Pelodiscus sinensis: one gene and its partner. The protein of the gene in region 2 purifies or fractionates together with the protein of the main gene of each other region. This does not show direct contact. Links are inferred from orthologs where the notes say so. Each region holds a gene or a part of one and is shown on either strand. Other genes may lie near its edges.

The links. The genes of interacting proteins can lie anywhere in the genome.
Region 1: the proteins of LURAP1 (region 2) and CDC42BPB purify together in Homo sapiens (co-immunoprecipitation; 3 studies listed by BioGRID and IntAct, with this or other methods). This does not show direct contact. The link is inferred for Pelodiscus sinensis from reciprocal best matches to the Homo sapiens genes LURAP1 and CDC42BPB.

What each region holds. Positions count from the first base shown.
Region 1 is NC_134714.1:21,258,565-21,262,310, reverse strand, and holds the start of CDC42BPB (serine/threonine-protein kinase MRCK beta), read right to left. Parts: upstream 2,335-3,746; 5' UTR 1,819-2,334; coding exon 1,641-1,818; intron 1-1,640. UniProt on the Homo sapiens protein: Serine/threonine-protein kinase which is an important downstream effector of CDC42 and plays a role in the regulation of cytoskeleton reorganization and cell migration. Regulates actin cytoskeletal reorganization via phosphorylation of PPP1R12C and MYL9/MLC2.
Region 2 is NC_134719.1:2,896,350-2,900,095, forward strand, and holds the start of LURAP1 (leucine rich adaptor protein 1), read left to right. Parts: upstream 1-922; 5' UTR 923-1,097; coding exon 1,098-1,289; intron 1,290-3,746. UniProt on the Homo sapiens protein: Acts as an activator of the canonical NF-kappa-B pathway and drive the production of pro-inflammatory cytokines. Promotes the antigen (Ag)-presenting and priming function of dendritic cells via the canonical NF-kappa-B pathway.

The DNA.
Region 1 (3,746 bases), on a different chromosome or scaffold from region 2:
CAGCAGTATATTTATTGCATTATTGTTGTTATATGTTGCTTCAAGCCAGAAAGCTTTTCATATTTAGTGAATATGTCAAATTGCTTCTCCTATTCTTGCACAAGTAGAAACAGAATAAATATTCTGTCATAAACACACTGGATGACAATGTGGTGGTGGTCCAATAAGGGATGAGACCACCAAAGAACTGTAGAGAAAGTACCTTATCCTCCAGAAATCTGCCCTAATCTTGCCTTCTCAATATCAGGACAAAGCTATAAACATATGATTGTAAGAGACTATATGGTAACTTATGAACAAGTAAATTCTCAAAGTGAAATCATACAGCATTTGTTACAAGGATATGGAAAAAGAATCCACTCTGCAGATGAAATACAAAAAGCTCCACTACAAAACAAATGCACCAATAGCTGTAGACTTACAATGCAGATGTGAGAAATTGTTAATTATTCAGTTGACAATCACATTATTGACATCAATAGATAACTTCAGAAATGGAATCCCCCTTAGGTTGCTAGCATGTAACAAAGAGTGGTGGTCCCCACAGAAATTAAGAACCAGCTATTCTGATATTTTAAAGCACTAATCTAATACTAAGGCATTTGGTATTTATTAAGATAAAGATGTAGACTTCCTTATAGCCCCACCCAAGGAAATCCTTTTAGATAGGGTGTTTCTTTACCAATCTAATTCATATGCGTGTGACACACAGGATAATGCAATGTGCCCAAGATCTTATAAGCCTTACCTCCCCCACAGCTTTTTATGCCACAAAGAAAATTAGTCACCTTCACCAATCATATTTATTTAAACAACCTAAACTGGTCAGCTATCATCACCAATTTAACATAAACCAGGGAGTAGAGCCAATCCAGTCTAATAGTATTACCAAACCACTACCTATAAATAAAATTCATAACAAAGATACACCTTTACAAGAAAAAAAAATTATCCTGTGCCACCACCCGTGCCTTTTCTTGTGGGTTTTCAGCAGTCAGGTTGATTAATACCATGGAACACAAATAATGAAACTTATCACATGGATTATCTGGAATTGCCTCTTTCCTTCAAAGGTACACTCAGATTAAAGCATGCACTCTAAATGTGAAGTACCCTCCTCACAAGCCCCCCTTCCTCTTTTAACCGATTATAACAAATCTGTCACACACAGGACACAAAGCCTTGCTAAAGAAGCAGAATTTCCTGGCCTGTCCCTGCTGCCCCCACCCCATCCGTTCCAGGTAGGCACCGGATTAGCCTGACATTTCAGGCTAAGCCAGGCAGGGTTTCAGGCCAAGGGCACTCTAGGGCCACTCCTTTTACTCGCAGCCAGGCGGCTCTTTTGGAAAGGGAGGCGGCGGTTACCGGGTTTCAAGGGTCACATCCTGGCAGCTAGGGTGTTACCAAGGGATGCGTCATACCCAATGGGCGGCATCTCCCCTTCATGCAAAGCATGGGCTTTAAACCTGGGGGGAGAGGGAGAAATGACGAGCTGGCGCTGCTCCTTTTCCCCAACCCAGCTCTCACTAGCCCAGAGCTGCTCCCAGCTCCAGGGGTATCCTCTCCGTCGTGCCGGGAGATGTCCGAACCGCGACCCCCGGGAATCGCCCGCCCGCCCGCCCTCCCCTGACAGGCCTCACCCCACTCGAGGAAGTCGGAGACATATCGGTCCCTGCGGAGCGGCGAGTCGCGGCTGCACTCGGTGTAGAGCCCGACCAGCAGGTCCAGCAGGGTCTCCACGCTCAGCGCGCTCTCGTTGCGCCGCGGCCCGTCCAGCAGCAGCTGCTCCAGCTTCTTCAGCCGCACCTTGGCCGACATGGTGCCGCCGGGCGGAGCCGGGGAACACCGGCCCAAACAGGGGGACGGGGACGCACAGAGGCCCCAGACGACGACGCTTCAGCGTCCCCGCAGCAACGGCAGCACCATCCGCTCCGCGGCGCTCGGCTCGGCAGCCCGGGCCCGGCAGCGGCGGGGTCTCCTCCTCCCCCTCACGCCGACATTTTGGGAGGCCCGCCGGGGGCTGGGCAGCTGTTTCCACGGGCTCTGCCCCAGGCCCGGCTGGTCCATTGACCGGTCCGCCCGGACCCGGCCTCCTGCGCCCGCCTGGCCGCCGCGCTCAGCTTCTCTCAGGGCCGCAGAGTCCGGTACGGGGATCCGCCGCGGTTGCTCCTCCTGATGGGACCGGAGGCTTCAGGTAACCCGGGGCCGCGACTCCTCAGCTGCAGCGAACACGGCTCTGTCCAGAGGAAGCACCGAGCGGCCCCAGCCGGGACCCAGAGCTACGCCCACCACGCTAGCGTACGGACGGACGTGTGAGGCGGGGCGAAGCTGTCCCGAGGAGTATTGGGAAAAGTTGTTTGCCGTAGAGGTAGGGCCGCTCTCAAGTGTCTTTGGAATGACCTCCGCAGATTCGTCATTCCTGGGCAGAGGCGAACCGATTAGTTTCAGTAAATTCGTTCCCTGGTAACGGGGGAGGAGGAGAAGGCTTTGCTTTCTCCTCAGCAGATTCGCATCGACTCCCTGGCTTCCGTTAGGCAAATGGCGGCAGATGTTGTCGGGGGTTCAGGCCGTGCCGGCGGCTGAGGTAACCCCAGCGCAGGTGTGGGACCCCGGCCGCCCAGCGAAGACAAGGCTGGCATCAGCCGCACGTGTCCCACCCCCGTCAGACCCCACAGCGATCGTCATCCCCTCCCCCCCGCAATAGGAGAGTGAGCGGCCGGGGCTGGCGCCTCGGGGTCCCAGGGACGCTCAGCCCGCCCCGCCTGGGCGCGTCCGGCTTCGCCTTCAGCCTGCGCGGAGGCCCGGCTTAGGGTGAGAGCGTGCGGAGCGGGAGCGTGGCTGACAGGCAGTGCAAGAGCCGTGTCCCCACGGACCCTTCCGCCGCAGGGAGCACGCAGGGCAAGTGCCGGCTCCCGGGACCACCGCGGCTCCAGAGCCGGCTCGCTCTGCTGTCGTTTGCAAGGCATCTGAGGGTTCCCCACCTCCAAGCACCGACCGAGCTTTAGCGATCATAGCAGTGGAGGGAGGGAGGGATGGGTGTTACACTGTGATGAAAGCTAATATAACTGGTAATACCACAGGTTGTCAACAACAAAAGAGGATTTTGTTTAACCCAGAACAAATGGAACTGGATTCCATCTACCTACAAAAACATTAAAATAATATAAGGGTTGGACTATTTATATACACCAACACCCTATAGCTTGCTATTAAGTGTACTTAACGACATATCTCTTTCTAAATGAAGAATATCTCTAGCTATCCCAATCTGCCCAAGCAATTTTTGTTCTAGTTCAAAGCTTTCCTTTCCCCAAATATCTCACTGGGCATTTTCTAATAGCCAAGTCAATCTCTGAGCCTCACTAAGATGGGAGGAGCTACCTCCCCTCCATAGAAAAATGACAGTGAACACAACATAAATCATGTCCTGAGACAGCAAGGAATGCCTTTGCCATATTTATATTAGTATTCCATACCTACAACTGCCAGCTTTTGCGGGCCTGATGCAACATTGGACATTTGGAACTCAACTCTCTGAGCCACAGCCATTGTGAATAATGCAAGAAGGTCCCTGGTAAGAAGTCATTGTCTCTGGCAACTGTGGCCACTTTTAGCCATGGAACCCAACATAGGGCTAGGATTTGAGTTCAGGGACTGTGGCTCTCAATAGTCAAATAGAATAGAGCACTAAGTGGTGGTGTTGACACGAATTTGGGACTGTAGGGGGCATTGAATAAAGCAGTCAG
Region 2 (3,746 bases):
GGGCTTTGGGCCCTACGGCAAGGCCCCGTCTCTTTTCCCCTCACCTAGGCGTACGTGGGGCAAGTTCGGCCGGCACAGGCCTGGAGACCACAGGGTGAGTGAAATGCTGCAGCGCCTCGGCTGTTGTCTTTGGAGGCAGACAGCTGCCAGCGGCATCCCTGTGGGAGCTAGGCCTAAGCACCACCCAGGAAGCCAGCGAGAGAACGGGGACTTGCGCCCAGCTCTGGCAAGCCTCCCTACTGCCCTGCAGACAGCCCGCTGCCCCTCCAGCACCCCCACCCTGGCGGACATTTCCCCCCTCGCTGGGGCTGCCAGCTGGATCTGGGGAGTTCATTCTGCTGTGCATCTCTCTTGCACACACACTTCCCTGGCCTGCACACACACACACTTCCCTGGCCTGCACACACACACGCACACACTTCCCTTGCCAACACACACACTCTTCCCCGACCTGCACACACACACACACACACACACACACTTACTTCCCTTGCCTACACACACACACACTTCCCTGGCCTGCACCTGCACACACACACACTTACTTCCCTTGCCTACACACACACACACACACTTCCCTGACCTGCACACACACACACACACACTTCCCTTACCTAAACACACACACTTCCCTGGCCTGCACACACTTCCCTTGCCAACACACACACTTCCCCGACCTGCACCTGGGCGCGCGCGCACACACACACACACACACACACACACACACTTACTTCCCTTGCCTACACACACACACACACACACACACTTACTTCCCTTGCCTACACATACTTCCCTACCCCCTCCCCTCCCCTCCACTTACTTCCCTTGCCTGCTGCGCCAAGCAGGATTGGTCCACACCGCCAGGCGCTCCCCCCCCCCCCCCACACACACACTTTTGCGCGTGCGCTCCACTCGGGGAAATAAGGCAGCTGCGCTGCGCCTACACACGGAGCCTTACGGCCGCGGGGTGTATCGGCCCGCGGGCAGCGGCCGGGCTGCCTGCAGCCGGGCAGGTGGAGGCGGCGGGGCCGGGGCTGTCGGGGGGCCGGGCTGCGGGGCAGAGGCTGCGCTAGGCGGCCCGTCGGGCAGGAGCGGGGATGGAGGGGCCGGGCTGCGAGCCGCTGCCCCCCGACCTGAAGGAGCTGGAGGGCAAGGTGGGGCGGCGGCCCCCCGACGGGCTGCTGCGGTGGCTGCGGGAGGACCCGGCCGCGGCGCTGCTCGGGGAGAGCCCGGCCCGGGGGCAGCGCCGGGGGCTGGCCGGCAAGATCAAGGCGCTGAAGCTGGAACTGGTGAGTGGGAGACCCCCGCCCACTGCCTGGTCTGCCCCCCCGAGCCCCTCCCCCGCCTGACCCCCCAGCTCCCTCCCCATCTCCCCCTGTCCCCCATCTTCTCCCCCGCTGCCTGGTCTGCCCCCCCCCCGCTTTCCTCTCCCGCCTGACCCCCCCAGCTCCCTCCCCATCTCCCCCTGCCCCCCATCTTCTCCCCCACTGCCTGGTCTGCCCCCCCCGCCTGACCCCCCAGCTCCCTCCCCATCTCCCCCTGCCCCCCATCTTCTCCCCCTCTGCCTGGGCTCTCTCTCCGGCTTCACAGCCTCCTCCTCACCTTCTCCCTCCCCATCTCCCTCCTCCCCACTGCCTGGCCTGCCCCTCCCCCGCCTGACCCCCCAGCTCCCTCCCCATCTCCCCCTGCCCCCCATCTTCTCCCCCACTGCCTGGGCTCCCTCCCCGGCTTCACAGCCTCCTCCTCACCTTCTCCCTCCCCATCTCCCTCCTCCCCACTGCCTGGTCTGCCCCCCCCCCCCGAGCCCGCCCCCCGCTTTCCTCCCCCGCCTGACCCCCCCAGCTCCCTCCCCATCTCCCCCTGCCCCCCATCTTCTCCCCCACTGCCTGGGGTCCCTCCCCAGCACCACCGCCTCCTTCTCATCTGCCCCCCCGCCTGCGCCTCCTCATCTCCCCCCCACTACTGGCCTGCCCCCCCAGCTCGCCCCCATCCTCCAGCTCTCTCCCCCTGCCCCCCATCTTCTTCTCCACTGCCTGGTCTCCCTTCCTAGCACCACAGCATCCTCCCCATCTTCCCCCCCCTCCGCCTGCCCCTTCTCATCTTCCTCCTCCCCCCTCACTCCCTGCTGCCTGGTCTCCCTCCCTGGAGCTTCAGCCTCTTCTCCATCCCCCCCCCTTTGCCAGTCCCTGGGGCTATACTCCTTCTCCCCATACTTGCCCCTGTCCCTTCCCATCACCCCTGGGGCCCCAATCTCTCTACCCCCCATGCCACTCCCACCTGCTCCCTGTGGCTTCTGGCAGCCCTGCTTTCCCCCTTGCCTGCCCCCTTGGGCTACGGCCTCCCACCTCCTCTTCCCTTCCCTCTTTGGGCTACAGCCCCCCTCCCCATCTGCCCCTCACCCTGTCTGCCCCTCGGGCCTGCAGCCTCCCATCACATCCTCCCTTCTCCACTGGAGCCACACCTCCCCCTTGATCTCCCCGGGGGCGAGGGTTGGGACAGTTCTTCCCCTCTCTGCGCTAGGGCCAACACTGCCCTCCTGCCCCATGGAGTCACCCCCCACCTCCTCTCCCTCTCTGCCCCATGGGGGGCTCAGGGCAGCACCACTCCCTGCTTCCCTGCCCCGTGGGAGGGCGGGGACCGTCCTCTCGCTGCCTGCTCCGTGGGGTCACCGATATTCTGCTCTGCCCATCGCTGGGGCATCTGGCCCCTCCTCTCTAGAGCCAAGCCTGGCTCGGTGGGTGGGGGAAGGGGTTCGTTGTGGTGGGAGAGCCCCGGGGTCTACGCTCTGAACGTGGGGACGTGGCCCCAGGGTTGAGATGCCCGACCCGGCTGGAGTTCCCAGCTCCTCTGGCAGTCAAGCTGCAGGCCCAGGGGGGGGGGGCAGGAGGAGGCAGTGTGGGGTTGGGACTGTCCCCTGATGTCCCTTTGGGTGTTGGCTAGGTCGGGGAGAGCAGCCTCCAAAGGAAAACACTGGAAAGGGGGCCACTGTGCTCCCGGCCTGTCTAACCATGGCTGTTTAAAAGCTTATCGTTAGGGAAAGGAGGAAAGTCTGGTGGATAAACCACACGGCTGGAGTCCAAGAGACCTGGGGCTCTTCCACTGAGTGTCTTGGACAAGTTCCTTACTCTTGTCCCATGCCTCAGTTTCCCCACCTGAAACTCCTCCCTCTAGTGGCTCGATTTTTGCTGGCAGTTGTGCGCATGCACTAGTCTCTCCCCTTGTCCATGACTCAGTTTCCCCTGCTATAATGAGGCCGGTGGGCACATTACCATATCTCCTAGTGGCTTGGGCAGGGCGACTTTTGGCTCATTGAATGTCAAGCGCTTTGAGATCCTTGAAGGGTAGCGGGCATAGAAGGGCAAAATATGATCTAGCCAAAAACTGGGTAGGCAGGTTTTTCTCCCCAAAAGAGCAGGGATCATCTTTTAAGTGTTATAGGCAGGGAATTCTAGCCCTCTTCCCCCTTCCATGTGTCAGCTGCTGTCTCAAGTCGCCTCTTTTCGCCGTCTGTGGCTGCTTCCTACCTCCGCCCCCCCCCCCCCGTTCACCGCCAGGAAGAGGGAGCTGGCCTCCTGCAATGTCAGCTGTGTTCTGAACACGGAATCCTAACGCTGCCAACGGCAGGAAGCAAGCAGCTGGCGAGTGACTCACGGCATCGCGACGGGGTGACTTGGGAGTCGGAGAGCAGTTATTGTCGTCAGGCGACCCGGCAGGCCGGAGGTTAGCGAGGAGGAGGGGGGAGTGAT